Linked DNA regions of Cricetulus griseus. The protein of the gene in region 1 purifies or fractionates together with the protein of each later gene. This does not show direct contact. Links are inferred from orthologs where the notes say so. Each region holds a gene or a part of one and is shown in the gene's direction. Other genes may lie near its edges. The genes, in order: Clk3, Gpatch8, Psme3 and Psme3ip1.

Region 1 (7,730 bases):
CCCACTCCCATCTCCTCTCAGTCTCCACCCTCACTTATTTTCTGGCCTCTGTCTCTTTTTACTCCTGTTGTCCCTGCAGCAGGTGCCTCTCCTGCTCCTGGTAGGCCAGAAAGCATTCCACCTTCTGGGAAGAATGCTGAAGGCAGCAGACTTGCAGAGCAGCTGAGGAGTGCTGGCTCATCCTCCCAACCCCACACACAGGATAGTCTGCAGCCTCTGATAAAGCAGATTCCTAGCCAGGGGCCCAGCTGATGAGCTTGTACACATGGAGTGTGGCTCACAGCTCAGGGTGGGGAAGAAAGGTGGGCTGCTCAGCTATTATCTCTTACTGCAGAGCTTCAGACATGCACTCTGCACCCCTGTCTGGTCCTACACACACACACACACACACACACACACACACACACACACACACACACATTCTTCTTTGTATCTGAAGATGGCTCCAGAGCTCAGGATAGCAATAAGAGGACTGGGGACTCTGTTATGGAATGCTAGAGAGCAGGGAGGCTAAGAAAATGGTTGTCACCTGGGTCCTGAGGGTCACCAGCCCAGGTGGAGAGCAGTGGGCAAGGAGGACCTGGTGAGAAGATGGGAGACTCATTTTCTGTGAGCATTAGCTCACAGCAGGCCTGGCTTAACTCCAGTAAAGCTGCTCACACTTTGTGCTCACACTTCTGCAGAATTTGGGCTTGTTCCAACAGGGCCTCTGGCACCAGTCACAGGTGGCTGGTCCAGCTTGGTCCACTGCTGCCTATTCTCTGCCAACCTGACCCAAAGCCCCTTTGACTGCCTCTTGTCCCACTTTGAGACTCTGCTGAGCACCTGCCAGGAAGAGAGGGGCCTGCTGTGCCCTGGATTCCAGGAGGCTGGTGGTTCCCTCAGCCCTTCAGTTGGGCTCAGTGGGTGGTCACAGAATAGTGGCCACAGGTGGCAGGAATCCCAGGGACAGCGGGCAGGGCTGGGTATGTGATCCATAGACACTATGCAATAAGTCCCTGCAGGACTATGGAGCAGTCCTGGCTGATTTGAGATGCAGAACTGGGGTCCATCCCACCCTGCACCCCTGGTCCAGGGTCCCTCAATGATTTGATTCACACTCCACATAAACATAGCCTCAACCCATCTAGTTTTCAGTTCTAGGCTTCCCTTAGCTATGGGTAACCTTCCTCAACCAAAAAGACTTTGATCCTCTCAAGAGCCAGGTTAGGAGGGGAACTGAAGCTGAAAACAGGATGATGTGTGTCTCTGGTCATGCTGGCAAACCCAGGAAGCCTGGGATTTGCAGTGTTGTCTGACTCAAGAGCCCACTTTCCCCAACCCTGCCACTGCATGGCGAGCTCCTCCAAGGACAGAGTCTGGAAACTGTAGGCTCAGGTGGACATTTGCAAGCTACTACTCTATGATATGGGGAGCCAGACGCCTTCAGCTCCTGCCCTCCATGCCCACCACTTTGGTGAGGGCTAGTTCAGCTGGTACCACCGTTTCTCACCATTGGCTTCTTCACCTATAAGGAAGGACTGGGTCAAGTCCTCCTGGGATTTCATCCACTCACAGGAATCCTGTAGGAAGACACTGAGGCCCTCCTGTTCCAGTGTCTACAACTCCAGCTTAGGAAGGGCCTAGTGGATATCTCCATTTGAGCAGATGGTGACCAGGCCCCTCTCCTACCCCACCTTTCATGGCTCTGACACGCTATATATTCCTCGAACTTTGTCCCTCTTAGGTTGGTACAACCTTCCAGCAGGCCCCTGCCCCTCTAAGCCCGTGGACTCCCTCCTTGGAGTCCCACAGCCCTTCTTGGTTGTCTTCCTACATCAGCACCACTCAAGGCCACTCTAAAACAGACCATGAGGACTAATCTCATACCCTGGCATGGCACCCACACACAACTCCACTCTAACTGGGTCCAAGTAGAAGAGAGGCCTCCACAGTTAGGCTGCCCATTCAGCAGGCCTGTGCTGAACTTGTTTTAAGAGGTTCATGGCCTTCCAAGCCAGGCTGTTTGGTGTGAGGAACCAAGGGAGGGTGGCATCACAGCACAGAAAGGGGAATCTGACCTCTCTCAGGATGCTTTCCAGGGAGGTGACCTTGGGGCTGAGGCTCAAATTTGTATCAATTCATTCCAGGCAGGACAGAGCTGGATACAGTGGAGGGGAATGCAAGGGCAGCTAGATGAGAGAGAGCTGGGGCTCAAGAACCTAGGGGGTAAAAAAATAAGGTGGAGAGAAACAAGAGGAGCTGTGGGGGTTAAATAAAAGCAGACAGGGGCATCCCCTTGGTGCCAGGGAGCCGCACACCAGCCACACAGAAAAGACTTATGGGCAAAGGGCACAGGCTGGGAAAAGTGTGGTGCCCGGGGCAGTGGGTGAGCATCGAGCCTCCTCCCTCGGGGGATGGCTTGGTCTGAGTTCCCTCTCATCAGAGTACTGGAGAGATGCTGCGGAGTGTATTTATGTAGGGAGGAGTAAATCAACACAGCTTCACTCCAGGACCAGTTCTTTCCTTCTGATAGATGTGAGTCCTTTCATGAAGAGAGACAAGAAAACAGAGCTCTAACGGGAGACCCTCATAGAGGAAGGCCAAGCTGCAGCCTCTGGAGTTGACACAGCTAGGAGACAGCTCCTGTTTAAGTCGAGAGGGGTGCTTTCTAGAGCCGGGGTGGGAGTGGGGAGCTTCCGGCAGGTCGCCTGGATTTTCCATGTTAGGAGAGCAGGCATGAAAATACACCATTCCTGATGCTTGGGATAGGGCAGGAGACAGGAGCTTTTTGAGGATATCGGCATTAAACTGGAGGATAATGGTTTCCCACAACCGTGGAAACGTGGGTGGGCAATTTTGGTGTGTGTGGGGGTGATGACACCACAGAAACCTGTGAATGTATGAAATTCTGTCAGTGTGGCCCTGAGCTTCAGGCGGGATCTGCATCTTCTGACACCTGGATTTTTCAGTATCTTTGGCTTCTGGGGTGGGACTAGAGGAAGCAGCAACTGAAGCTGCTGTTGAATTTCTTCGTGGTTAGAAGGTGACTATGGGGTCAGCTTGAGGTTACGTTAGCAATTTTAATCACCCAGCTTTTTTTACTCAGCTACTGTTTACTTTGGTGGTGATGAAGATGCCCGGCCACTACGTCAGAGACAGAGACTAAGGTCTCTAGAGAGACACTTTCAGCATGGGAGAGAGGCTCGGTGGCGACAGGGCCTGGTGGGCGTGCATCTCATCCAGCATGGGGAGCAGGGCACATGGGAAACCCTGGTTGTCCCCCGCCACCCCCCGATTCAGTGAGATCCTTAAGGGAAGGGATGCCCCGCCCTGGCCGGCTGCTCCAGCCTCTCGGGCCTCGCGTGGCGTGGGGCAATTAAGTGCCGCACCCGCCCGCTTGGCTGCGCGACGCGCGGGGGCGGAGACGCTGTCAAAGCGAGGCCTTCCCAAAGGACCTCGACCTGCTTTCTGGAAAAATAGGACCTCATGATCCTGCCACGACAAAAGCGTGGGGCAGTAGGTGGGAGGGGTCACGCCCGAGGCCGCAGCAAAAAGGACAGCCGAGTAACTCAGTGGCAGAGCTGGAGCGAGGCACGGCGCGGGGCTTTGTGTGGCGCGGGTTTCCTAGCCCAGCAACCGTGCTGATTGGCAGCAAGACGCTCTGAGGTGTTCAAGAGAAGGGGACGTACTCTCCTCAGACCCCACCGCCGAGGCTCGCGGGCATCTTCCCGGAGACTGCTCCGCAAGCTCGAGAGAGCTGGGGCGTGGCGCCAAGACTTTCAAAAACCCCGCACAAGCCGAGAGCAGAATGTGTCGCTTGCTTCTTGCGCGCAAGCGGAGTCGCGCCCGCCTTCCTCAGCCCGGGCGCACCGTCCGCTTTCGTCTCTAGCGCCCTCCCGGGCCCCGGGAGAACAATGCCAGTCCTCTCCGCGCGCAGGAAGAGGCTGGCGAGCACGGCCGGGCCGCGGCGGCGGAGTGGACCCAGCCTGGCAGTCCGGTGGGTTCCTTCTTTCGGCCCAGAGCCGAGCTCCGGCCGCGGTGGCGGCCGAGCACCGATGCGGCCTCGGGGGCCTACGTGCACTACAGCACGGCGAGGGGCGGGTCGCGGCCCGAGGATGCTCCCGGGACCTCCCGGAAGAGACCTCCACCGCGGCGACCCCGACCCCAGAGGGGCAGGTCGGTCCCCCAGAGCCTGCGAGTTGGGGGCTAGAGCGGCCAGGCCTCTGGGCCGGGTCGAGCCCGGGCCGCCGACGGCTGCGTCACGCGAAGGGGCGGTGCTGCCACGGGCGGAGGCCGGAGCCGGAAGCGGAAGAGGCGCTCGGAGTGGGGAGTGGGGCCTAGCCGCAGCCGGAGCCTGGGAGACGGTGAGTGTGGGCCCGAGCCCGCGGCCGGGCGGCTTGGGTGAGTCGGTGGCGACGGGCAAGCTGGTACGGGTACCTCAGCTCCCGGTCGGGTCTCGGCGTGTACCTTTTTCCCCTCTTCGGCCCACGTCAGGCCGCGGTCCCGACCTCTCACCCCTGACCCGCCGCTTCTCTCCCGGAGGGCGGTCACTGTAGACCCCTTTTCTGGATCCCGCGGTGTTGGAGGCGGAGTCCTAGCGGCCTCCGAGGCGGCTGGGAGGTTCCACATTGGGCCCCACGCGGGCCAGCCGGCTGGGGTCGCGTCCGACCTAGGCTAACCTGGAAAGGCTTTCCCTGCCCCGGGCTCGAGGCTTAGCCCGCAGACCTCCTCCGCGCGCCGCCTGGAGTTTGATTCTGGCCCAGGCTGGCCTTCCCTCTGGCCGCCGGGTCTTCCCTTGGCGGTTACGGGGAACGGGGCTCTGAGACCCCTGGGATCCGGGCGGAAGGAAGGGACTCGAGTGCCGGCCTCCGGCCCCTCGGTGTTTTGTTATGATGGAACCGCTCCATCCCGGAGAGTGGGCCAGACCGAGCCGGGAGTACAAATGTCCAGGCTGCTCCTCGGTCCGGCCGGGAGCCTCTATGCTTTAGTTCCGGGTGCGGGTGCCCTGATGCTTGGGTGGGAATTGCTTGAGTCTGGCCCCCGTCAAGGCGGAGTTGGCGGCCTTCCAGCTTCCCTCCTCCGTGCCCTTGAAAAGGAGGAGCGTTTTGCCCGGTGGCAGCCGCAGCTTGCGAGGTGGCAGGTTTGAGGTTGCAGTGGTGGGGCACTGCCAGCCAAAAATAACCATGGGTCGCTTGGGTGGCAGGAATCCGGGAGGGCAGCCGCTGACCTGGCTGGCTGCTCTTCTTGTCAGCCCGGTTCTCTAGCCAGGAGCAGCAAATGAGAAGCCAGCTAGGCCTGTGCTCAGAGAAAAAGCTGGCATCCTTAGCTTGGTTTCGTTGGTCACATTGCTTTTTTTCTTCATTGTACAGAGCAGAACCTCCTAAAGCATGATTGTGGCTCTTTAGTTTTAAAAAGCCTCTCTTTCTGCTGAGGTCTCAGAAAATCAGAGGGAATTTATGAGAAATGAGCCCAAAAGCCCTGGCTGGGATGATGACGTGGGACACCTGGTATTTCCCATATATCACCTGTTCAGGATGAGTTGCAAGGGAGGTGATCTCCATTACTACTACCCTGTGTGTGGTACTTAATGGCCGTCATACTTGGCCTTCTTTGCCAGGTGTTATCTTCATTTTCCTGGCATGGCAACAGAGGTCTAAAGTGATTTGTATAAATAAGGCCACAGGGCCAGTAGTGGCAGCACTGGGATTGAGTTCAGGGTTTTCTGCCGAAACTTCCTACCGGGTCCCTTGGAAAGGATTATAAATTAAGGCATTCATCATAACCCTGAGTGTTACCTGGAACCTTCTTAGGGTTAATGAAAGGCTATATTTAGTACTTATTATGGCCCAAACCTTTTCTAGGCTTTTGACTTTATAGGGCAGACATATTTAATTCTTCTAGAACCTTTAAGAGATTATTGTTTCCTTGTTTCAAGAGGAGGCTGAAGCTGAGTGGTTAATAACTTGTCTAAAGGCAAACATTGACGTGGTAGTGCCGTGGACTAGGTTGTCATTGGACTCTGAAGCTGTGACTTTCCTCTCAAGTAGACACGTGGTCATGAAAGATTTCTAGGTCTCAGAAGGAAAACTTTGGCCACGTGTATGTTAGACCATATCACCACATCCTCCAGATAGGGTGCTTTTTCTGCCTGGTGAGGATGGGCAGGACCACACTTGTCTTGAGGGAAGATATGTGCTCTGGTCAGTAGGATGTCTTTTGGGTCAGTTAGTGAGACATGAGATACTGCTTTCAGGCCATAGCTTGAGCACCTGCTGTAAGATAATTGGGAAAAAACAAAAACAAAATGATTATTTAGATGATTGTGAAAACAACAAATCTACAGATCTTATGTAGTGTTTATCTCTGAGGATTTCTGGGTGGCCCAGACTTTTCAGATGGAGGGTTGCTAGTGGGGAGATAGAAGGCAGTGCCTTTCTTAGGGTCCCCAGAGACTCCCAGTGGTTTAGATGAATTGGCCTCCCTGTCCTGCTCATACACAAGTAGCTGTTTCATTTTTGAATTGTGTTGGTGAGGTGAAGCAGCCTTGATGGATTTGTTTAAAAGGTGCTTGGCCAGGCAAGCCTGGGACTGTGCAAGACTAGAGGTTGGGTGTGAGCAATTGCTGGCTTGGAAAGCAAACAAGCAAAGGTCTCTTGCCTGGCCATCTGGTGAGGAGAATGTGAAGGGGCAGGATATGGGTGAAAATGGTACCATCCTCATGTAGCCATCTTCCTCAGCTGGTTGCTGATCCAGCTTGGGAGTCTCCTGTACTGGATATAAGTCCTCAGTGGCTAGGGGTAGTGAATCGAAAGCCTGCTTCTGCTTCCACGTGTAGACCTACAGCCACGTCTTCTAGGCACCTCCAGAGATAGTCTCACGAAGCAGTGATGGTCAGGGGAGCTAGACCCGATGGCAATGATGCTGTTGCTGAAAGTTGAAACACCTGGTATGGGACTCTAGTTGGTCTGAGGGCCTCTAAAATGTGCCTCAGGCAAGCAGCTTAGATTCTCTGAGGATTGTGGCACCTTCCTGGGCTGAGACTGGATGGGCCAGCAAGGGCTGGGCAGGCCCTCTGGGCCTATGCCCACTTGGCTACACCTTGGTAGAAGGTAGGGAATGTTGATGAGACATTGTGTCTTTGCTCAAGGTTTAGTGTTCTCCTTTCTACTGTGTCTTCTCACAACTTCGAGTTGAGTCCAGTTCAATGCTTTAGCAAGGCAGCTTGCAGTTTCTGAAACCACTAAGTACATTGGTTCCATGCCACCAGTTCATTAGTTTCAGGCTCCTAGAACATTTAGGTTATAGGATTCCATAGGCAGGAAGACATTGAGCAAAGCTCTTCTTTCCCCCTGTCCTAGCATCTCTGTGACAGTGCTCAGAATCCCCTAAGAGATCTACTTCTGTATCTGGGCCCTGACTTATCCAGTTCAAGTGTTCAGGCCCCTAGGCCATGCTGGGGAGGCACCTGTTTGTTTATTCACTGGCAAAAGGATGGAGTCACCCATTGTCTGCTGTTCTGTTACTGTGACCTCAGAGTTCTTCTTTACTTCATAAACCCGGGGGTAGGGGGGTTGCCCCTAAATAGAACAATGGGCCTCTTCTTCAGGAGCACCTGGCTGCACCAGGCAGCCCTGTGGCTGGAAGCAGTGAGCTGTGTGTTGAGCAGGGCTTTCTCTTTCTTGTGGCCTAGATGCATCACTGTAAGCGATACCGTTCCCCAGAGCCAGACCCATACCTGAGCTACCGCT
Region 2 (7,678 bases), on another chromosome or scaffold:
CTCCAGGCCCCCAGTTCTTGTGAGCTGCCACCCATTCAGGGGTGGACTTTGATGATGCAGCTCCGTTTGAGTCATTTCTCCTTCTATAAGTAACCTGTCACCCATATTCCTATAGTAATCCCAATGAAACTCATTCACTCACTAAGTTGGACTTTGGCGGTATCTGTACTTTAGTCAGTTCTCGTTTCCTTATCTGGGATAAGCAGATGCTTATTCATGTCTCCTGAGGAATAATGTTTCACAATGTGTAGCACATGTTTGAAGTGCCTGTGGAGGTCAGAAGAAGGCATCAAATCCCCTGGAACCAGGGTTACAGGCCATGTGGGTGCTGAGAGACCACGGGATTGCTGGGAACCAAACCTGGGTTCCTCTGCACGATCAGTAAATGTCCTGACCTGCTGAGCCATCTCTCCAACCTCCAAGATTTCTTGCTTAGTCTTCAAATATTCAGTGTGGATGGGGTTTCCAGAATAATGGACTTTTCCATGGGGTATTTGGGCAGGACATGATCTTTATGTTGGGGGTGATGCCCTCTCCATCCCATGAAGACCTCGCTTCTGTAAGCCATTTTCTCAGGGAGAAGACTTAGATGATTTGCTGGGGTATTGGTGTAGTGGTTTGAATAAAATGGTCCCTCCCCATAGGCTCATATATTTGAATGCTTAGTTTCCATCCAGTGGAGTTATCTGAAAGGATTAGAAGGACTAGGAGGTGTGGCCTTGTGAGAGGGAGTGTGTCACTGAGGGTGGCTTTGAGGTTTCAAAAGCCCATGCCATGGCCAGGTCCAGTGTCAATTCAATCTCTCAACTTCTCTTTCTCTGTCTCTCTCTCTGGCTGTGGATCAGGATGTAGCTCTCAGCTACTGCACCAGGGCCTATCTGCATACTGTCATGTTCCCTGCTCTGATGATAATGGACTAAACTTTTGAAGCTGTACATGAGCCCCCCAATTAAATGCTTTCTAAAAGTTGCCTTGGTCATGGTGTCTCTTTCCAGCAACAGAACAGCGACTAAAACAGCTGAGTTTTTTTGCACAGATCCTCTCATTTCAACAAATTATCTCCTTCTTGGTTACTGCTGGCATGTTAAGGTTCAGTATCTGTTTGGTTAGCATCTCTAGAGAAAGCCTCCAGCAGCTGTCTGAATGGAGAAAATTATTTAGGATCCAACTGCGCCCTAGACTGGCTTGTAACTAGTCCTTGTGTGTTCATCTCTGCCCACACCTGCACCTTCCCTGGTACCAGGTGCAGGCCCTTGAGGCCAGCTAACCAGACCAGGGAGAGCTCAAGGCTTACTGAGACACTTTGTCTTAAAAAAATAAGGTGGCAGGAAGACTGGAGAGATGACTCAGCTGTTGAGAGCACTTGCTTTTACACAAGATCAAGGTTCAATTCCCAGCACCCATATGGTAGTTCACAACTGTCTGTAATTCCAGTGCCAGGGAATCTGATGCCCTCTTTTGACTTCCTTAGACACCAAGCGCATACAAGGTACACATACATACTTTCAGAGAAAACAGTCATACATGAAGTAAAATGAATAAGTCTAATAAAATCAAATACCCCCTCCATAAAAACATTAAGAAAGCAGGAGCTGGAGTGGTGGTTATGCAGGTAAAAGCGGCTTTTCCCTTTACAGAATAACCACATAGTGGTTCCTAACTGTCTATAACTCTAGTCTCCAGGGATCCAACAACTCATACATGAGCCTCAAACATATATGGAGGGGAAAATAAGAAAAAAAAAAAAGTCAAGCTCTTTGCAGACCCGTGTTATCGTTTTTCCAAGGTTGTGGATCCCTTGTTATGATTTATAGGTAACTTTGAGACAGGGTGTCCTTTCCATTAAAGTGCCCCCCCCCTGCAGTTTCACTAGATTTTGCCGAGGCAAGGTCTTTTTGCATTCCAAGCTGGCTTTGAACTCCCTGTGTAGCCAAGGATGAGTTTGAACTTCTGATCCTTCTCCTTCAGCCTCAGTTGAGGCTTTTACCTAGTTTTAGTCTTTGACACTTGCTAATATTTACAACTATTAAGTCATTTTACTGGCGATCTGGCTTCCCGCCTGGAATGGAAGCCCTATGAGAAGAGATTTTTTTTTTCCTGCCTCTCAAGTAATCCTATTATGTGTCAATTTAAAAAATACTCTCCTTGGACTTGGGAGTCGAGCCTCTGCTACATGGAGAGTTGGATGGAGTCCAGCCTGGGCTACAGGAAACCCTTATCCAAAACCAATAAAAACACTTAAAAGTACTCTGGCTCTAAAAATCATATCTCGTGCTGCTGTATACTATTATTTGGCCAATACAGGATGGGCTCGATCGTAAACAAGAGCAGAAGAAAGACTACTAAACACCATTAAGCGAGCAAGCCCTGCCCTGCTGATCTTTCCCTCCGGAAGCGCTTGTGGCGCTCTGGAGCAAGTGCGCATGCGCGGCCCCGCGAGGGTCGCTCCGGGCCGTGCGCGAAACCGGGTGGTGCGCGAAGGTTCCGCCTCCGGGCCCGCAAAGCGCCTGCGCCCTCGGAATTCCCGTCGGGACGCATTCTTGCTCCCCCCTCCCTCCCTCCCTCCTAACCTTCCCCCCCTCCAGCTGCGCGCGCCCGGTGGGCGTGGGAGGAGGCGTGGAAGCAGGGAGGGGGCGGGTGTCGCGGGAGGGAAGGAGCGAACCGGAGAGCGTCGTCCTGAGGAGGAGTGAAGGCGGCAAAATGGCGGACCGCTTCTCCCGCTTCAACGAGGACAGAGACTTTCAGGTAAACACGGGCGTCTCCGAGGACCCCCCGGAGGGCTCGCCGCGAGCGCGGGGCCTCCGCCTTCCCGCCTCGGCTCTCTGTCCTCCCGCGCTCTGCTCCGCCTTGCAAACCGGTTCTCTTTTCTGCCTCTCATTTCTCCAGGGGCCTCCCAGCCTGAGATGAGGCCGCGTCTCCGGCTTCATCCCCTCCGCTTCGCCCCCGAGACGCCGGCTCCCTCCTCTTTGGCTCCTGGCTCCCCAGCGGGCTGCTCTGTTGGGGCTGCGCTTGGCTTGGCCCGGGGGCCTGTGCAGGCGCAGGGCTGGCCCTCAGGGGACAGGGCTGGGGTTGGGAAGGCTTGGGCCAGTGGTTTTCAGGCCAGGGCGTCCGAACCCTTCCTTGGATTTTGCTCGCCCCGATCACATTGGGAATCTTTTCTCCTCCTCCCTCATTGTGATAAACAAACCCTTTATCGTCTCTGTAACCTTGTCCTCGCCCTGGAAAAGGGTACCCTTACTTATCAGACGCCTTTTTGTTTAGGCGAGCATTGAGCTTTCTCTGGGCATAAATACTGCTGTTGTTTTCAGGCCGTTAATTGGGCTTGGGAAACAGTAAGGTATTAGGACTGTGGACTGGTGTAAACTTAACTTCGAATCCTACCAAGATTTGTAAGGGGTATAATAATGGCCTTCCCAAGCGTGAGGTGGTGACTCGTGCCTAAACCTTCATTTTTCTTCGTTTGCAAGTGTTGATCTGGAAAGATGTCCCTACGATGGCAGGCGTTGCGGGGTGGGGGCAAGGCCGAATTAGAATGATCCATCTTTTAACTGTTGAAATTGTTACTACAGAAATAATTGGAATTATAAAGGATTTAGTAGCCTTTGGCTATTTCTACGTAAAATACCTCCTCAGAGATGCAAATCACTGCATTACTACCGCATCTCCTGGCAACAGCAATTTGGGTCAAGGGATGAGCCTCGGAACTCAAGTTTTTATCCATTTGAGCTTACTCCAAGCAACACAGGACTACGGTAGCTGTGTGTCAGAAGGCAGTTTGAAGGGTTTGAATTCTTGGAGATGATTGGGTTGGTAGATAGACAAAACAATTTAGCAGTTTTTTAAAAACTGTCTAACAGTCTTCTGCGTAGAACACTGGGAATTTTGCAGCAGTAAGGAATTTGGGGGTTGCTGAAAACCCGAGTGTGATCATGTGCCTGCTGTATAGGCTGCAGCACCAAACAGCATCTCAAGGCGTTTTTAAGAATGTGTCGAAGGTCCACAGAAGTTTGAGGCAGTTCAGTTTGGACATTTGATACCCGAGAAGGTGTTTTGTTTTTTGTTTTTGTTTTTTTGAATAGCAAGCCCAATAAAGCATGTACAAAGTGCATGAGCTTTTATTAATTTTATTAACTTAAAATTATTTAAGGAGATATACATACGGATGATGAAAACCTTTGAATGCTTTTCAGAGTTGAGAATTTCAAGGTGACCTAATAAAATTGAAACCAGACAGGGTAGACAGTTTTGAGCAAAAGTGGCCCTCAACTATTTCATCAGGCTCAAAGAGGATTTTGAATGAAGATTTTGAAAACAGGGTATCAGAATTTGAGTGCTGTCACTTAGAAACTAATAGGAACACGTTTTGATGCTTTAGTAGAGTTCATATACAATCTGATTTTATGGGCCAGTTAGATGGCCCAGTGGGTTAAAAACCCTTGTCCCATAGGCCTGACACCCTCAGTTTGGTCCCTAGAAGGTAGGAGAGACCCATTCCAGGAAGATATCTTCTGACCCTCACATAATATACACACAAGATAATAATAAATTTAAAAATTTTAATTTAAAAACTCACAAAAATCTGATTTTAGGTGGTTGAAAAAGGAAGAGGAAGAAGAAATTAAATAATAAGCAGCTATGGTGGTGGTTCAGGAACTTAAGGCATTTACCAACAAGTCTCACGCCCTGAGTTAGAGTCTTGGGATCTAGAAGTGGAAGGAAAGAACCCAATCAGATCCTGAAAGTTGTCCTCTGATGCTCCCCATGAAGTTAATACAATAAAAACTTTTTAAAAATCAAAAATAGATGCCTTGAAGATCCTTGACATTACTACATGCCATTTTAAACTGTATTTTCTGCATTTGCTCTGACATAATCCACTTAAAATTTTGAATGTCCTAGCATTTTTCCTAAATTGAATATTGGAAATAGTTTTTTTTTTTTTTTTTTTTTTTTTTTTTTTTTTTTTGAGACCAGGTCTCATGTATCTCACAAAGCCTTAAATCTGCAATATAGCCATGGATGACCTTGACTTGTGAATTCCCTGTCTCAGCAGTGCTGGGCTTACAGGTGAGCTCTTCCACACCCAGGATTTTGTGCATGGTAGTAGGCAAACACTTTACCCACTGAATTAAATCACCAATTCAGAAATGGAATTTTTTTTTTCTTTCCTAGCAGGGTTTCTCTGTAACAGCACTGGCTGTCCTGGGACTAGCTCTGTAGACTAGGCTGGCCTCAAACACAGAGATCACCTGCCTCTGCCTCCCCCGAATTATTTTTTTTTAAATTGCATTCTGTATGTATGTATGTGTGTATGTATGTATGTATCTATCTATCTATGAGTGTATAATGTGTGTATATATAGCAGGTTCTCAACTGGAGAGTTACATTCCCAGTAAATTATTATGCTATCATTTCTTTTTTAAAAATTCCTTTAAAAATACTTAAGGGCAGAAGCAGGCGGATATTAAGTTTGAGGCCAGCTTGGCCTACAGAGCTAGTTCCAGGACAGCCAGGGCTACAAAGAGAAAGCCTGTCTCAAAACAAAACAAAGCAAAACAAACAAACAAAAAAACACAAAACCTTAAAGGCTCAGGGTATAATAAGTTTTAGTGGTAGAGTACTTGCCTAATATGTGAAGGGCCCTGGATTTGATCCTTAGTACTATGGTGAAAATAGTAATAATAATATAAAATGAGAATAGTCAATATATTTATCTCTGGGTGTTTTAATAAAAGAACATTGATTGACTGTCAATAATGTCCTTTGGTTTAAAGCCATTGAGGGAATGAAACCTAGTAAGATGCTCAGTGAGTAATGTTTCAAGCTTAGATTACTCACAAGTTGAATGTAGCCTCCTTTGAAGGTTTTAAGTAGTTGAACATAGTAGTGCAAATTTATATGTCTACCATTTGGGAGGCAGAAGTAGGAAAATTGTGAATTTGAGGTCAACCCTGATACATATAACAAGACCCTGTCTTTAAAAAAAAAAAAAGAAAAGCCAGTTCTGACAGTGTGCTCCTGTAATCCCAGAGCTTTGAAGTTAGAAGTAGGAAAATTTAGGACTTCAGTATTATCTTTGACTACATAAGCTAGTTTAAAGCCAGCCTGAATTATGTGAGACCCTGTCCCAAAATTTGAATAAGGTGCCAACAAGATGTGTCAGCTAGAAAAGTTACTTTCTGCCAAGCTTGCCTGATGACTGAATTTGATTCCCAGGACCCACATGCTAGGAGAAAACTGACTCCAACAGGTTTAACTCTGACCAGCTCCACATGTGTGCTCCCACACACAAATGCATAAATAAAATTGAAAAATGTTAAGAAATAAGAAAAAAAAGCATTATTCTCTAGGTTTTGTGTATATTATCTCTACCTTCACAATAATACTTATGGAGTAGCTGGTATTATTCCCATTTTTAAATGAAATAATTGTGGCATAGACAGTTCAGTAACTTGGTTAATACTTCTGTTACATCATAGGGCTTGAAATTAGACTAGCTTTTCTAATTATTATTATTATTATTATTATTATTATTATTATTATTATTATTGGTTTTTTTGAGACAGGGTTTCTCTTTGTAACTTTGGAGCCTGTCCTGGCACTCCCTCTGGAGACCAGGCTGGCCTCGAACTCACAGAGATCCACCTGCCTGCCGATGCCTACCAAGTTCTGGGATTAAAGGCATGCGCCACAACCACCCCACATCCGATTTTTGTTTTTTAAAAATGATGGGTATATGTGAATATCTGAGGGGTTTGTACTTGTGAGTGCAGGGCCTGTGGAAGCCAGCAGAAAGCATCAGATCTTGTGAAGGTGGAGTTAGAGGCAGTTGTGAGCTGCCTCACATGAGTGCTAGGAGCCAAATTTGGGTCCTCTGTAAGAGTACTATATGTTCTTACTACCATCTCTCTAAGCCCTAGATTGGCTTATAACTCTTTTAGTTATTGGGTGTGTGTGTGTGTGTGTGTGTGTGTGTGTGTGTGTGTGTGTGTGTGTCCCACAATGCATATGTATGAAAATAAGGTCAGTTTACTACCTTATGGAGTCAGTTAGGGCCTTACACCTTCCTGGGGACTTTTGGGATTGAACTCGGGTAATCAGGCTTGCATAGCAAGTGTCTTTACTTGCTGAACCATTTTGCTGTCCAATGTTGCTCCTGAACCTGTATTCAAGATCCTTTATTCTACTAGCAGTTTTACTTATTATCTGTGAGTGTTTGTTTATTTTAAAGATAGGGGCTGCTCACATATGTTTTACACAGTATAATTGAATCATCAATTATGGAAGGTAGATTTATAGGTCACACAAATAATGTGACCTTTTGGACAGTTTTTCTGTGCTGTTTTGTTCAGATGTGTGTCTTTCAAGGGCTTCTAGGCAGGCTTCTGACTGTGATAAATTTCACAGTCATTAAGGATACATTTTTTGTTTTGTTTTGTTTTTTGTTTTTTGAGACAGGGTTTCTCTGTGTAGCTTTGGAGCCTATCCTGGCACCTCGCTCTGGAGACCAGGCTGGCCTCGAACTCACAGAGATCCTCCTGCCTCTGCCTCCTGAGTGCTGAGATTAAAGGCGTGTACCACCAACACCCGGCCCTTTTATGTATTTATTAGTGGGAAATAATTTTTCCTATTTTTGCATTTATTACGTGTGTGTGTGTGTGTGTGTGTGTGTGTGTGT
Region 3 (7,729 bases), on another chromosome or scaffold:
AATTTCATCTTTCAGTACAACATGAAGGAAGTTAGGTAGGAGCTTGGAGGTGGGAACTATAGCAGAAACCATAGAGGAATGTTACTTGTGGATTGTTCCTCCTGGCTTGCTCAGTTTGTTTTCTTATATACCCCAGAATTACCTGCTCAGGGGTGGCACTGCCCACAGCAGGCTGGGACTTTCAATATCAATCATCATTCAAGAAAGTGCCCCAGAGCTGGGAGGTGGTGGCGCCTGCCTTTAATCCCAGCACTTGGGAGGCAGAGGCAGGCAGATCTCTGTGAGTTCGAGGCCAGCCTGGTCTACAGAGTGAGTTCCAAGAAAGCCAGGATTGTTATGCGAAGAAATCCTGTGTGTGTGTGTGTGTGTGTGTGTGTGTGTGTGTGTGTGTGTGTGTGTGTGTGTGTGTGTGTGTGAATCTAATGGAGACATTTCCTCAATTGAAGTTCCCTCTTTATAGATGGCCTTGATTTGTGTCAAGATAACAAAAACATGGAAAAAAAAAAAAAAAACTAGGGCTGGAGAGATGGCTCAGAGGTTAAGAGGCTGTTCTTCCAGAGGTCCTGAGTTCAATTCCCAGCAACCACAGGGTGTCTCACAACCATCTGTAATGAGATCTGGTGCCCTTTTCTGGCCTGCAGGGATACATACATACATACATACATACATACATACATACATACATACATACTAAACAAATAAATCTTTAAAAAAATCTAAGCAGGCCAGGTGATAAGGAATGTCTCATTTGCTTCTGTCTTTTCAATGACAAATGATCCAACACCATAAAATGGAGGTGAATGGAAAGGGCTAGTGGAGAATGAGAGCTCAGGTGGTATCACACATTTGCTTGAGATTTGTGGACATGATTTAATTGATGGATCACTATACTAAACTTTTGGGAAGGGAGTGGGGGAAAGTGTATCTTCTCACAGCCTATCTGAAGACAAAGTCATCACTTGGGAACAAAGCCATTATTTCGATAAGCATATCTAAAATAGGACATATCTAAAATAGGATGAAGTTAATTTGGGAGAGAATTCTTGACGTCAAGTAACAGTAACATGGAAAGTTACCAGAGATATGTCAACAGAAAGGTGAACCGCTAGAAAAGAGTGTGCAAGGTGGGTGGTGGGATGGGTATTTACTTGCACTTGAATGGGAAAGGATTATCTAAAATAGATTCCTGCTGTTGTCTACTTACCTTTACTTTGTCATGATTATCAAAATTTGCAGTTGTATTGCCGCTTTACTTTCGGTGTTTTTCCTAATATGAAACATTAATGACAGACAACCAGAAACCTTCTAGTTTTCCAGACTTGTTTTGTTCCATAGGATAGCCAATGGCCACATGTTCCTATTTAGTATTACAATGCGTCATAGCTTCTGTGGTTGTTTTGTTAGTGTGTGTGTGTGTGTGTGTGCGCGTGTATGTGTGTGTGCGCGTGTGTGTGCGCGCGCGCGCGCGTGTGTGTGTGTGTGTGTGTGTGTGTGTGTGTGTGCGTGTGTGTGTGTGTGCGTGCGTGTGCTTGCTTGCTTGCTCATATGTGCACAAAGGTCAGAAGACAGTTGGTTCTTACAGCATGTGTGCCTAATAGATTGCTTTACTTCGTTAACGCCTTAATACCCAATGTGTCACCCATTTTCCACTCAGTTGTTTGAACCCAGCGAATTAGAAATCCATAGACACAAGGGGCTGACACATTGTAATATACATTAGATTAAACATGGCTAAAGCTAATTAAAAAAAAAAAAAGATTGGGGGGCTGGAGAGATGGCTCAGAGGTTAAGAGCACTGGTTGCTCTTCCAGAGGACCTGAGTTCAATTCCCAGCAACCACATGGTGGCTCACAACCATCCTTTATGAGATCTGGTGCTCTCTTCTGGTGTGCAGATATACATGGATGCAGAATGGTGTGTACATAATTTAAAAAAATCTTAAGAAGGAAGGAAGGAAGGAAGGAAGGAAGGAAGGAAGGAAGGAAGGAAGGAAGGAAGGCCGGGCGTTGGTGGCTCACACCACTCGGGAGGCAGAGGCAGGAGGATCTCTGTGAGCTCGAGGCCAACCTGGTCTCCAGAGCAAGTGCCAGGATAGGCTCCAAAGCTACACAGAGAAACCCTGTCTCGAAAAACTAAAAATAAATAAATAAATAAATAAATAAATAAATAAAGACTAGGGCTGGAGAGATGGCTTGGAGGTTAAGAGCACTGACTGCTCTTTCAGAGGTCCCGAGTTCAATTCCCAGCAACCACATGGTGGCTCACAACCATCCATTATGGGATCTGGTGCCCTCTTCTGGTGTGCAGATATACATGGAAGCAGAATGTTGTATACATAAAAAAAAAAAAAATAAAATTTAAAAAAAAGCCTAACCCACATACGTGAAACACACAACACACATTTATAGTCTCTGTGTAACACTGTTCTGGGATCTCCACTTTATTGCATTGAATAACCCATACTAAGAGAATAATTTGGTGAACGAAGAGATGCTGCCTCAGACTTCCATTGGAAAATGGTAACAGTTTTATCCTAGAACTGGGAAGGTTTGAGTCTAGGGAAGTCGCGGGAAACAATGTGTTGCTTTAGATAAACCACAACCATCTTCTGGGCGTGGATTTGTCTGGTATCTGAGTCTGCGTGCAGGAAAGAACGGTGCAGGGGAAGTTGTCTTGTGTTTGGTAGTAGCCGGAGGTAAAAAGGGATGCGAGGCGGGAGTCAGGGAGTCAGCCCGGAACGCTCAACAAGGGAACGGGGCCGCGGGCTTCTTCAGTCGACGTCACTAGGGCGCGACGGCTACTCTTCTAAGAAGCAGCGGCACACGAGGTCCCACAGTGAAGTCGAGTTCCGGAACAACAGGACACATCACTCTGGAGCCTCCGGGAAGCCTGGGTCTCAGCATCCCTGCCCCAGGTTTACCACCACAAGGCACATGGGCCGGAGCTCCAAGAGCCCCATCAGGAAGCTGTAGAGCCCAGCAGCAGAGCGGCTGCGCGGGGCACGTGCTAATCCGCGCCGGAGTCCCGGCGACTGGCTGTGACGCAACTTCCGGCGTGAGCGGCGAAAGCCGGGAGGGCGAGCGAGAGAGCTAGCAGGCAGCAGGCGGCAGGCGGGCGGGTGGCCGGCCGGCACGGAGGGAGGGAACGAGCAAGCGGTGAGCAAGCCAGCGAGGGCGGCCGGGTCCCGAGGGCAGTGGAGATTCCTCAGGCCCCTCCGGCGCCCTCCCCGGAGTCCACAGCACCTCCAGCACCCAGCGGAGCGGACACGGCCCTGCCCGGCCATGGCCTCGTTGCTGAAGGTGGATCAGGAAGTGAAGCTCAAGGTAGCGGCACAGCTCCGGGCCTCCTCATCCCTCCATTCGAACCCCCAGCAGTCGGACCTTCTCCCCACTCCCCATGGTCGTCTTTGTCTCCCTGGGGACACCAGCTCTGAGCTTCCGCTCGGCTCACCCAGCCCCCCCATGCCTGGAGACGGCATTGGAAAAGACGATGTAGGGTGGCTTTCTGCCCTGCTTCTGGTGATGGAGCGCACCAGGTTCTCCTCTTCGGACACGTGTTAAACTCAGTGCTTTAGGGTAGTGACAGGTGGAAGTCCCCCGGCCCAGCCATGTCCCCGCCCCCGGACGCTGCCACTGACCCTGCCTTTGGAGGCTGGCTTACTGCGTATGAAAGGCCAGGTCTAGGTGGGAGTTGGCACGTTTGTGAGCTCACCTCTTCCAGTTTGACATCTGTCTGCTTATCAAATTCAGAGGGCTTCAGACAACCGGAGGGAGGGAGGGAGGGGACTAGGGGAGGGGGGTAGAAGGGGATAAGAGAAAGGGGAGACTGACAGGTGCTGCCCTCCAGCTCCGACATTCCTCTCCTGAGATGGAGAAATGGATCCTCAAAAAAATAAAGTATTTGCAGTCTGGGGGCCTTTCACCTTCCCATTATAATTCCAAGGTGAGGGCAAGGCAGCTGGATTTGGGGTTCCCCATTCTTGCCCTTGTGTCACCAGGTTCTGAATTGCTCTCTTTGTTGATTTTAGGTTGATTCTTTCAGGGAGCGGATCACAAGTGAGGTGAGTGTTGTAAAGGAGAAAAAAGGTGTTGGCTAATAGCTGGGGGTTTCCCAAAATCCGTAGGGAGTGACTACCCCATGTTTATTAATTCTTGTGTATTTTCTCTGTCTAGGCAGAAGACTTGGTGGCAAATTTTTTCCCAAAGAAGTTATTAGAACTTGATAGTTTTTTGAAGGTGAGAGACATTTTTTATTTCTTTAAATTACCTTTGTCTTGGAGACAAATGGGGCAGATGGTGTGATGATTCTGTTGTCTTGTGTACTATAAGGCACTTGTTTCTTTTCTTTCACAAGAAATACTTTTCTCTCTCTTGTTTTTTTTTTTTTTTTTTTTTTGTTTGTTGGTTGGTTTTTTTAAACTTACACTAATACTGTTTTGGGGTGAATGCCTCTCTTTCAGGAACCAATCCTAAATATCCATGACCTAACTCAGATCCACTCAGACATGAATCTCCCAGTCCCTGACCCCATTCTCCTCACCAATAGCCACGATGGACTGGATGGTGTGAGTGTCTTGCATTTATGTTTGTGTTTTTAGTATTTTATTTCTTGGTAAGCCTCGGGATGTACAGAGGATGTGGGCTTTGCTTGTGGGATCTGGGGTTCTGTCTTAGGTATGGTGACTCCAGAATACTACTTTTTTGGACCTTTAGTTTCATTTTTAGCAAGGTGAGTATGTTAGTGCTGCAGTGCTAGCCCCGAGTTTAATTAGGTCTATACTAGCTATATTTTTGTTGTTGATGGTGGTGTTTTGTTTTTTCCCAGCTACCTGACTTTCCCCAGGCTTCTGAATAAGACTTTTTATTCAGTGTATTGTGTCTTGCAGTGGGAAGAGAAGCTATTCTTGCTGCAGTCCCTGTCTTTACTGTCTCTTTAGCACCTGAACTTTGCTTTGTCTTTGAGGCAGGGGTCTGACTATGTAGCCCTGGCTAACCTGGAACTCCCTATGTAGACTAGACTAGGTTAGCGTCAAACTCATTGAGATCTGCTGTGTAAACGCTGGGGTGAAAGGTGTGTGCCACTGTGCAGCTAATGCCTATACTGTATTCCATGTACATTGTGTTGTAACACCAGTGATGTTATAGTTTTGTCTTAAATTCCTGTGATTTTTTTTTTCTGCCTTAGAGATCAAGCCTAGGGTCTTGTGCATGGTGTATAAATGCTGTACCACTGATTTATATTATTAGCTTTCAGAACTATCTTAATTTAATTAGGCTGAGTGTGGTGGCTTAGCATTCAGCTTGTCTGAGGAAGGAGAATTGTGAGTTCAAGACCAGCCTGGGATACGTAATGAATTGAAGTTGGAACTCATACTGGGATCCTTCTTCCAAAATAAATCTGCAATTTAAGGCAGGAACCATCTTAATTGCCTTAGTCCCAACATTTCCTAGCATACAGAAGGTACTGTTCTGAGTTTGTTGATGAAATATTGTCTTTGTTTTAGAACCAACAAATTTGTACATACCCCCTCAATTATTCTCTACCTGCCTTGAATGCTTTCTTCTTCCTCTTTTTAAAAATAGAATTTTCCCTGCTTTTCTACTGTTTCAAAACACAAACACTATTTATTGTGTGGATAGGGAGCATACCAAGGCTTTCCTTTTGCCGTGTTGGTCCCAGGAATCAAACTTCATTTGTTAAGCTATGTAGTAAGTGCTTACTTACTATCTGTAGAACTTCACTGGCCTCTTCAGCTGCTCTTTTAATGTGTTCTATTTGTTGTAAATTTGACCTTTCCAAGTAGAGTGCAAGTTTGTGGCAAGAACCTGTATTGAAAGATATATATATTAAGATAACCTATGGGGTCCAGGAAGGAATTAATTAAGTTTGCTTGTATAGTATCTTGTAATGGGTATGTGGTGTTGAATGGAAGCTAATTCCTGCTTCTTTATATCCTTAGCCCACTTACAAGAAGCGTAGATTGGATGAATGTGAAGAGGCCTTCCAAGGTAAGAGCTGCCACCTAGTCTAAGCTGACAGCCCTGCAAAGCAGGATGGTTCGGGTTTTCACCAGCACAAGAAGTGAGGTCTGATTTAATTTCCCAGGACCAACACTTGGCATCTTCCTACAGTGGTCATTACTTAGTCTCCTAGTACACCAGGGGGGTCTGACTTAGTGTAGATGCCATCAAGAGTGCTGGGAGGCAGAAGCCACACCTCACAACTGTCATAGGAGTCCCATGCTCTGTGTCATTTGCCCCATGCAGGAGTAGTTGCCTGATTCACTAAGGGGCCGTGGACTCATTTAGCTTTTGAAAGATAAAAGGCAAAGATGAATACATCTTCTATGTCTAGGGAAGAGGAAAAGCTGGAGGGTGCCTTCACTTTTCCACTGCCCTGAACACGTGAACTTGATGTATCTTCCAGGAACCAAGGTGTTTGTGATGCCCAATGGGATGCTGAAAAGCAACCAGCAGCTGGTGGACATTATTGAGAAAGTAAAACCTGAGATTCGGCTGCTGATCGAGAAATGTAATACGGTGAGGCAGAGGCTAGTGACCTATGACTGGACCTTAATAGCTCCACTTGAACTATGGAATGATGGGTGGGGCGTGGCAGGCTAAGTCTCTTGATTCCTTTGTTTCCGGCAACAAGCGTCATGTAATTCGTGACTTTAGTAGGAAAGACCAAGGTCCTTCTACATGTATTTTGTCATCTTACACTCTAGGTCAAAATGTGGGTACAGCTCTTGATTCCCAGAATAGAAGATGGGAACAACTTCGGGGTGTCTATTCAGGTAATGTGTTCATATTGCAAACTGGGAGCTGCTTCCCCTGCTTTGACTGTTTTCTTTGGTGCTACTGTAGAGTGATGTGGAAGTAATGTGACTCACCTGTTCTTCCCCATAGGAGGAAACAGTTGCAGAACTAAGAACTGTCGAGAGTGAAGCTGCATCTTATCTGGACCAGATTTCTAGGTACAGCCGTTTGGGCTGTGTCCAGGAATTGGGTTGGTGAAATGGGAGACATGTTCAGGGCCCCCTTCAGCTGCTTCTCTTTTTTCCTCTTTCCAGATATTATATTACAAGAGCCAAATTGGTTTCTAAAATAGCTAAATATCCCCATGTGGTAAGTAAGGGTTTGGGAGTCTGAGGTGGGGTGGAAGGGTAGGTAGGATGCTTAGGAACAAGCTGTCTGTGGGCTTTGGGCCTTGAAGACTAGCCTCCCCTCTTCCCATACAGGAGGACTATCGCCGCACGGTCACAGAGATTGATGAGAAAGAATACATCAGCCTCCGTCTCATCATCTCAGAACTGAGGAATCAGTATGTGAGTAACATCACTCCCTGCACGTAGCTGTCCTGGCTCCTCTTAGTTCTGTGCTAATTTCTTAAAAACTGGGGTTCAGAATAAAATGAGTAGAATAGCCAGGGTAGCCTCTGCCTATAACCCCAACTGCTCAGGACAGGATCCAGACTTTGAGGCTGGCTGGGGACATATAAATAGTAGTTCATCAGCACTGTGTGGAGAACATGAACTTACTGAGGAGTCTAGTGTGGTGTTTCTGATCTGTATAGGTGGGGGTGGTATACAACATATGGCTGGTTAAGCATGGGTCTTGGAATTAGAAAGAAGGCTTTGTAACCAAAGTCCTCATGTAATGGGTGATTTGTTTGTTTTTAGGCAGGGTCTCACTTTGTAGCCCAGGCTGTCCTGGAGCTCACTATGTTG
Region 4 (6,502 bases), on another chromosome or scaffold:
AAATTTTCTTGAGCCTGTAACTCACACATTCCTTCCTAATAATTGTTTCTTTTCCTGTGTTTAGAACTCAGGCTTCATTATTCTGTGAATTGCTTGTTATGGGTCTTTTTTTTTTTTGGCTAGGCAAGGTGGCCATGCTGGCCTCACACTATAGAGCCAAGGGTAATCTTCAGCTTCTAATCTTCCTGCCTCTATTTCCCAAGTACTGGAATAATAGGCATGCATTACTGTCTTAGGGTTTTTATTGCCATGATGAAACACCATGATCAAAAGCAACTTGGGGAGGAAAGGGTTTATTTCACTTGCACTTCTATATAACAGTTCATCAAAATCAGTGAGGGAAGAACCTGGAGGCAACAGCTAATGCAGAGGCCATGGAGGGGTGCTACTTACTGGATTGCTCCTTATGGCTTGCTCAGCCTGCTTTCTTTCTTTCTTTCTTTCTTTCTTTCTTTCTTTCTTTCTTTCTTTCTTTTTTTTTTGTAAATTTTATTCAAATTAGAAACAATCTTATTTTACATATCAATCCCAGTTCCCTCTCCCTCCCTCCTCCCATGTCCCCCACCAATCCCCCATCCCACCCCCCCATCCACTCCACAGGAAAGGTGAGGCCTTCCATGAGGGGATTATCAAAATCTGTCAAGTCATTTGGAGCAGGACCTAGGCTCTCCCCTGTGTATCTAGGCTAAGAGAGTGTCCCTCCATGGGAAATGGGCTCCTGAAGTCCATTTGTGCACTAGGGATATATCCTGGTTCCACTGCCAGAGGCCCCATAGACTGCCCAGTGCTCCTAACTGACACCCACAATTCAGGGGTCCTGGTTTGGTCCTATGTTGGTTCCCCAGCTGTCAGACTGGGGTCCATGAGCTCCCACTTGTTCAGGTCAGCTGTTTCTGTGGGTTTTCCCAGCATGGTCTTGATCCCTTTGTTGGTCACTCCTCCCTCTCTGAAATTGGATTCCAGGAGTTTGGCTCAGTGTTTAGCTGTGGATCTCTACTTCTGCTTCCATCAGCTACTGGATGAAGGCTCATGTTTGTCTTTCAATGTGATTTCTCTAAAATCAGGTATAAGACAAGGTTGCCCACTCTCTCCATATCTCTTCAATATTGTATTTGAAGTTCTTGAAAATATTGGCGAATCCAAGAACACATCAGAAAAATCATCCACTATGATCAAGTAGGCTTCATTCCAGGGATGCAAGGATGGCTCACCATACGAAAATCCATCAATGTAATCCACCATATAAACATGGGGATCATGATAAAACACAGAAATCTGACCAAGTCCTTGTTTTTGTAGTCTGTAAGGCTGTATCTTCTCAGCTGTTTTGGATGTAGGATCAGTTGGGTCACTGCTTCAAGGGGTCTTGCTTGATCAAACCATATTAGTCTGGAAGGAATCCACAGCTTTTCATTTTCTCTTATCAGGCGAACTCCCTTGCTGGAGGATCACATCGCAAATCTCTCAGCCTGCTTTCTTACAGAACCCAGGAACGCCAACCCAAGGATGGCACCACCCACAATGGGTTGGACCCTCCCCCATCAATAACCAATTAAGAAACTACCCTATAGCCAGATCTTATGGAGGCATTTTCTCAGTTGAGGTTTCCCTCCTTCCAAGTAACTCTAGTTTGTGTTAAGTTGACATGAAATGATCTAGCACAATTGCCATGCCAAGTTTTTGCAATGTTGGGGATCAAAGCCAGGACTTCATACCATGCTAGACAAGAATGCTACTAACTGATTATATCCCAGGGTACCCATTATTTTTTTATTGTCATCACCACCATCATCATTATTATTTATAGCCCTGGCTGGTGTTGAACTTGCAATAGCCTTCCTGTCCCAGCCTCCCAAGTGTTGGGATGATAGGTATGTACTGCTATATCCTGCTGCTCTTTGTGCTTTTTGGTTGTTGATGGATGGCTTCTTGATTTTTTTCCTTTCTTTTTTTTTTTTTTTTTTTTGCAGTGCTAGGGATCAAAAAACTCAGAGCCCTAGTACATGCTAGACAAATGAAAGCGCCTACCACTGAATTCGTTTCCCCGGTACCCCCACAGCTTGTTTGTTTTTTAACAGATTAGAAAAGCTCTTTATATCTTTAAACTTGCTAGCTTTTGTGATATTTGTTGTAAGCATTGCCATTGCCTCCCAGTCACTGCTCTTGTGCTTTCTGAGATGTTTGAGCTTTGCTTATCCCCAGCAGCTTCTCTGTTGCTTACTGGAAAGGAACAGACACCCTGAGCTGCATTCTGTGTCCAACAGCTGATGGCTCTTCTCAATATAGCCTTGGAGTCAGTGTCTCTTGCATTCTCTTGAGGTATCTGCACAAGTGAGATGTAGATTTATAGAAGGCAAACACCAAAAGGGATGTCCTTGTCAGCCCCAGGCGGTGACTTAGGAACTGAACCTTCTCTGCTCCGTTGAGCTTTGGCATCACTTTAGTGCAGCATCTTCTGGCAAAGGTTTACTTTAGTGTTTTATACTCTAACCTGTGTACTTAGCAACTTATTTGACTTCCCTCATCAGTAAGCAGGGAGAACACCTACATATAAGTTGTTACAGTGACTAAATGAGGCTAGAAACATTCAGAGGGAAGAAAGAATGAAGTACCATTCTCAATTTAGGTTTGTTTGAATTTTTTTAAAAGAGATTTTGGTTTTTAATTACGTGTATACGTATATGTCTGGGTGTATATGCATGAATGCCATGCCATGGAGGCCATCAGAGGGCTTCTGGGTCCCAAATTATAGGTTGTGAACAGGCTGTGTGTGCTGGGAACTCAACTCAGGTCTTCTTCGAGAGCACAGTATATGCTTTAATCTCAGCTATCTCTCCATGCCCCTAACTTTTCCTTTCATCATCAAGTTCTGCATTTTGTAGATTGAGGCCTTTGTCATTGGAGTAACAGAATCCCTGTGCGTATCCTAGAAAGAAGAGCTCCGATATATTGTGACAGTGTACATGGTTTTAAATGTTTCCTTCAGTGGCTCTCAGCATAAAAGGACTAAAAAGCGAAAGTGATAAATGAGTTTCTGAGGTGCCCATCTCCCCATCATGGGAAAATGCCTCATAAAGAGCATAACTGTATGGATAATCTCTGCTAGTCGATACACTGGTCTCTAAGTATGGCATCATAGAATTGTTAGTATCACTCACAGTTGGTCTCTTGATCTAGCCTCCAGTTGAGGGCCACAGCAGTAGCTAAGGAAGACATCAGACTTGATTCACACTTGCTATAATATCATGACTTGTGAAGACAGGGAATCAAACTATGATAGGTGACTCTATGAGGTTTGTTACTCCTCAGAACTGGTGGGTGGCAAGAGAGTGGGCAGACTCTGAGTCTCAACTCTGTGTTTTCTCTTCTCTGTCAGCTTCCTCACCTGTAACACGAAGATGTCCAGAGCCTCCAGTAACTCATAGAGTTTGTTCTGCAGCACTGGGGCTGTTTTCTGTAGAAAGCCTTGGCATGGTGTCCAGGACCTGGGGATGACCCTTCAGCATTAGGAAGTGTGATAACTGACTTCCTGTCTTCCCTTTGGCAGAGGCTCCATCCTGCATGACTCTTGGAAGCTCTTCTCTGAGCGGACCCTCCATCCATTGTCCGTCTGCTGCTGTCTGCATCGGCATCCTCCCTGGCTTGGGTGCCTACTCTGGGAGCAGTGACTCCGAGTCCAGTTCAGACAGCGAAGGCACCATCAATGCTACAGGGAAGATAGTCTCTTCCATCTTCCGAACCAACACCTTCCTCGAAGCACCCTAGCTCCTGACATTACCACAGGGAGCATCTCCCCAGAGGGTTAGATGTCTGTCCTGCCTCGACATCATCTCCCTCAAAAAACTTCATCTGCTTCCTGTGCACATGTAACATTTTAACCTAACTCAGAAATGTGCCACAGTCCACTTGTGGCTCAAACTCTGCTTGATTTTTCTGTAAACTCCAGTGCAGATGACTGAACCTGTCCCACTGATATGAGGGGTTAGGGTGCAGGCAAGTCTCAGAAATGCCCTCAGAAATGTACCTGTGCAAGGACAGGTACCAGCTGGCTTGCAAGAGTTCACTGGACCTTGTTGCTTTCTTGTTTTTCTCCTTTCCCAGTAGCACAGGAAGCAAGGACAGACATTATCTCAATACTCTGTTACAGGGGAAGGGGCTGCTTGGTTCTACCATGTTGTGTGTGGGCAGAGAGAAAGGGGCTGACTAGCTGATGCCATGAGCACTGTCCTAGAATTAACCCTTCCTGGATGTTGTGTGACTAAAGATTGCAAACCATACCCACAAGGCTATGTGCCACCCACAGCCCTTGAGGTGATGCCCTTCCATGTTCTCCTCCCTCCACCCAGCCTGAGGAGGTAGGAAGGACCTGGTAAGCCTGAGGAGGTAGGAAGGACCTGGTAATGACATGTCCATCTTCTGCCCACCTTTTCTCCATGGAAAATTGTTTTTGATTTTGTTTTTGAAATAAAAAAAATAGTTTAAGATTCTAAACATCAGAGAAGCAAATTTATTGAATCATAGCCAGAAGCTGTAACTGCTGATAGCTATGTTAAAGAGATGACTAATGCTTAGCAGTTTCTGGAATCCTCAGACTGCAAACTAGTGGGACATGCCTGTTATGGCTATACTCTACTCCTCCAAGGCACTGCTGTTTGTACATAGAGTTGTAGCTTTTGACTGTGAAGGAATTTCCAGTCTAAGGTGTTGCCTCAGTATTTTCCTTTATCCACCACCCACACCCACACTCACACCTACACTGTCCCTGCACTTCCCAGACAACAGCTCCTGGGCCGTGAGCAGCAGGTCTTGCCTGTTTCTGTCTCATGGAGGAGGGAGGGAGCAGGTGTGCAGGACTCCAGTTGGGAGACATCTATCTGACAGTCTGTGTGTTCCTGCTGCAGAATGAGCCTGAGTTCTCACTCCTGGTTCCAGTAGCCATTGTTTTTTTCCTTCCTATGGGTGTGAGACGAGTGAGACACACACCGAATGTGTTGGCACTGACATACTGGCAGGCAGAGGAAGTTCCTCTGTTTTAACGTGGGTAGAGAGGGCCTTGGATCTCATCCAGCCCTTCCTTTCCCCTTGTAGTGTATTGACACTGGTGCCCACCAGCAGATGGTAGTTTTCCTTCACCCATCGTGGATTCCTGTAAGTGCTGCCATCTTTGCCTTTGCAGAGCCTCCCTGTGCTAATCTTGTCTGACTGGCAGTGCAGGCGTGTCAGCCCCATCCTGACAAGACATTTAGGTAAAACTGCAAGCACCTTCTGCCTCTTTGTGTCATTGTTCCTGTGACTGTGCTGTCATTCCTGCAGCATGTTCCTGTATCCAAAGCAACCCTGAACCATTTCAGGAGGCAGACCAAGACATCAGTCATCAGTTTCATGTAGCTTGATTTTTCAGAGGCCACTAGTGTACCTCTGTTGATTTTGAAAACAGGTGACAGGGTTGTGGGGTTTGAAATTGTTAGAGCAAGCTCTTGCTCTGTGCCACATCTCAGGCTTCTAGCTTGCCAGTTATTTGCAGCTGATTGGGCTGAACAGTCTTCAGACCCAAGTTTCTTTTCCTCTTGACAGAGTCTGCTGTGTACCCCAGGGTGGCTTACAAGCTTATCCTTTTGCTTCAGCTTCCTGAGTCCTAGGATTACTGATGAGTGCCACTATACCCAACTTTAGCCTGGTCTCTGCTTTTGGTGTCTCAGGAAAGCTTGAGTCACACTGGTAGCCCTTTAACCATAGTTCATTGTGTCAAATGGTGTAGAGGCCTGTAATTGAAACACCAGTTCTGTGCAAAGCAGGCCAACCAACAGGGGAAGCAGCCAGGACAGACCTACAGTTCCTACCACAGAAGAATAGAGTGAGCAGAAATGGAAGGAAACCCCACTTTAACCTTCAGGACACAGTCAGCCTTTCCTCTGTACTCAACATGGATATACCTTTCTCATTCCCTAAACAAGACAATGTAACAACTTCTAGGATATCACATTGCTGTAGGGGGCATAAGTTGATGTAAATGGAATAAGTGAGCTAGGAACGACTGAAAGTATACAGGAAGGCATGAGTAGGTTCTGTGCAAGCAGGACATTTTGCAGCCAGGACTTGAGCATCTGCAGGTGTTGACCTCTGAGGAGGGTCTAGGGTCTAATCCCACCAGATGTACTCCTGCCTGAGTAACTGGAATTTTACAGTTAAGTGAGAAAGTAAAGGAGCTGGGTGGTGGTGGCACATAACCTCTTTAATCCCAGCACTCAGGAGGCAGAGGCAGATGGAGGCTCCATGAGTTTGAGGCCAGCCTGGTCTACAGAGTGAGTTCCAGGACAGCCAGGGCGGTTACACAGAGGAAACCCTGTCTCAAAAGAAAAAGTAAAAAGGATGGTTGGGGTTTGTTTCTCTAAGCCTTGTACATTGTCTCAGATGGCAGAATTCTTACAGCTCTGAGACCACTTGCAGAGAGCCAGCAGTGTTCAGTTGCCAGCTCTATCTGGGAGGCAAGGGACTGTACGAC

The links.
Region 2: the proteins of Clk3 (region 1) and Gpatch8 purify together in Homo sapiens (affinity purification with mass spectrometry; 3 studies listed by BioGRID and IntAct, counting the BioPlex papers as one, with this or other methods). This does not show direct contact. The link is inferred for Cricetulus griseus from reciprocal best matches to the Homo sapiens genes CLK3 and GPATCH8.
Region 3: the proteins of Clk3 (region 1) and Psme3 purify together in Homo sapiens (affinity purification with mass spectrometry; 5 studies listed by BioGRID and IntAct, counting the BioPlex papers as one, with this or other methods). This does not show direct contact. The link is inferred for Cricetulus griseus from reciprocal best matches to the Homo sapiens genes CLK3 and PSME3.
Region 4: the proteins of Clk3 (region 1) and Psme3ip1 purify together in Homo sapiens (affinity purification with mass spectrometry; 3 studies listed by BioGRID and IntAct, counting the BioPlex papers as one, with this or other methods). This does not show direct contact. The link is inferred for Cricetulus griseus from reciprocal best matches to the Homo sapiens genes CLK3 and PSME3IP1.

The regions. Positions count from the first base shown.
Region 1 is NC_048597.1:169,398,452-169,406,181, reverse strand, and holds the start of Clk3 (dual specificity protein kinase CLK3), read left to right. Parts: upstream 1-3,447; 5' UTR 3,448-3,896; coding exon 3,897-4,346; exon of another isoform or gene 4,347-4,383; intron 4,384-7,672; coding exon 7,673-7,730. UniProt on the Homo sapiens protein: Dual specificity kinase acting on both serine/threonine and tyrosine-containing substrates. Phosphorylates serine- and arginine-rich (SR) proteins of the spliceosomal complex.
Region 2 is NC_048600.1:115,555,407-115,563,084, forward strand, and holds the start of Gpatch8 (G patch domain-containing protein 8), read left to right. Parts: upstream 1-2,547; 5' UTR 2,548-2,700; coding exon 2,701-2,745; intron 2,746-7,678.
Region 3 is NC_048600.1:114,356,932-114,364,660, forward strand, and holds the start of Psme3 (proteasome activator complex subunit 3), read left to right. Parts: upstream 1-2,854; 5' UTR 2,855-3,281; coding exon 3,282-3,323; intron 3,324-4,027; coding exon 4,028-4,060; intron 4,061-4,172; coding exon 4,173-4,235; intron 4,236-4,459; coding exon 4,460-4,564; intron 4,565-5,959; coding exon 5,960-6,008; intron 6,009-6,426; coding exon 6,427-6,539; intron 6,540-6,727; coding exon 6,728-6,796; intron 6,797-6,908; coding exon 6,909-6,976; intron 6,977-7,072; coding exon 7,073-7,127; intron 7,128-7,240; coding exon 7,241-7,327; intron 7,328-7,729. UniProt on the Homo sapiens protein: Subunit of the 11S REG-gamma (also called PA28-gamma) proteasome regulator, a doughnut-shaped homoheptamer which associates with the proteasome. 11S REG-gamma activates the trypsin-like catalytic subunit of the proteasome but inhibits the chymotrypsin-like and postglutamyl-preferring (PGPH) subunits.
Region 4 is NC_048596.1:170,803,871-170,810,372, reverse strand, and holds the end of Psme3ip1 (PSME3-interacting protein), read left to right. Parts: intron 1-3,547; coding exon 3,548-3,765; 3' UTR 3,766-4,491; downstream 4,492-6,502. UniProt on the Homo sapiens protein: Promotes the association of the proteasome activator complex subunit PSME3 with the 20S proteasome and regulates its activity.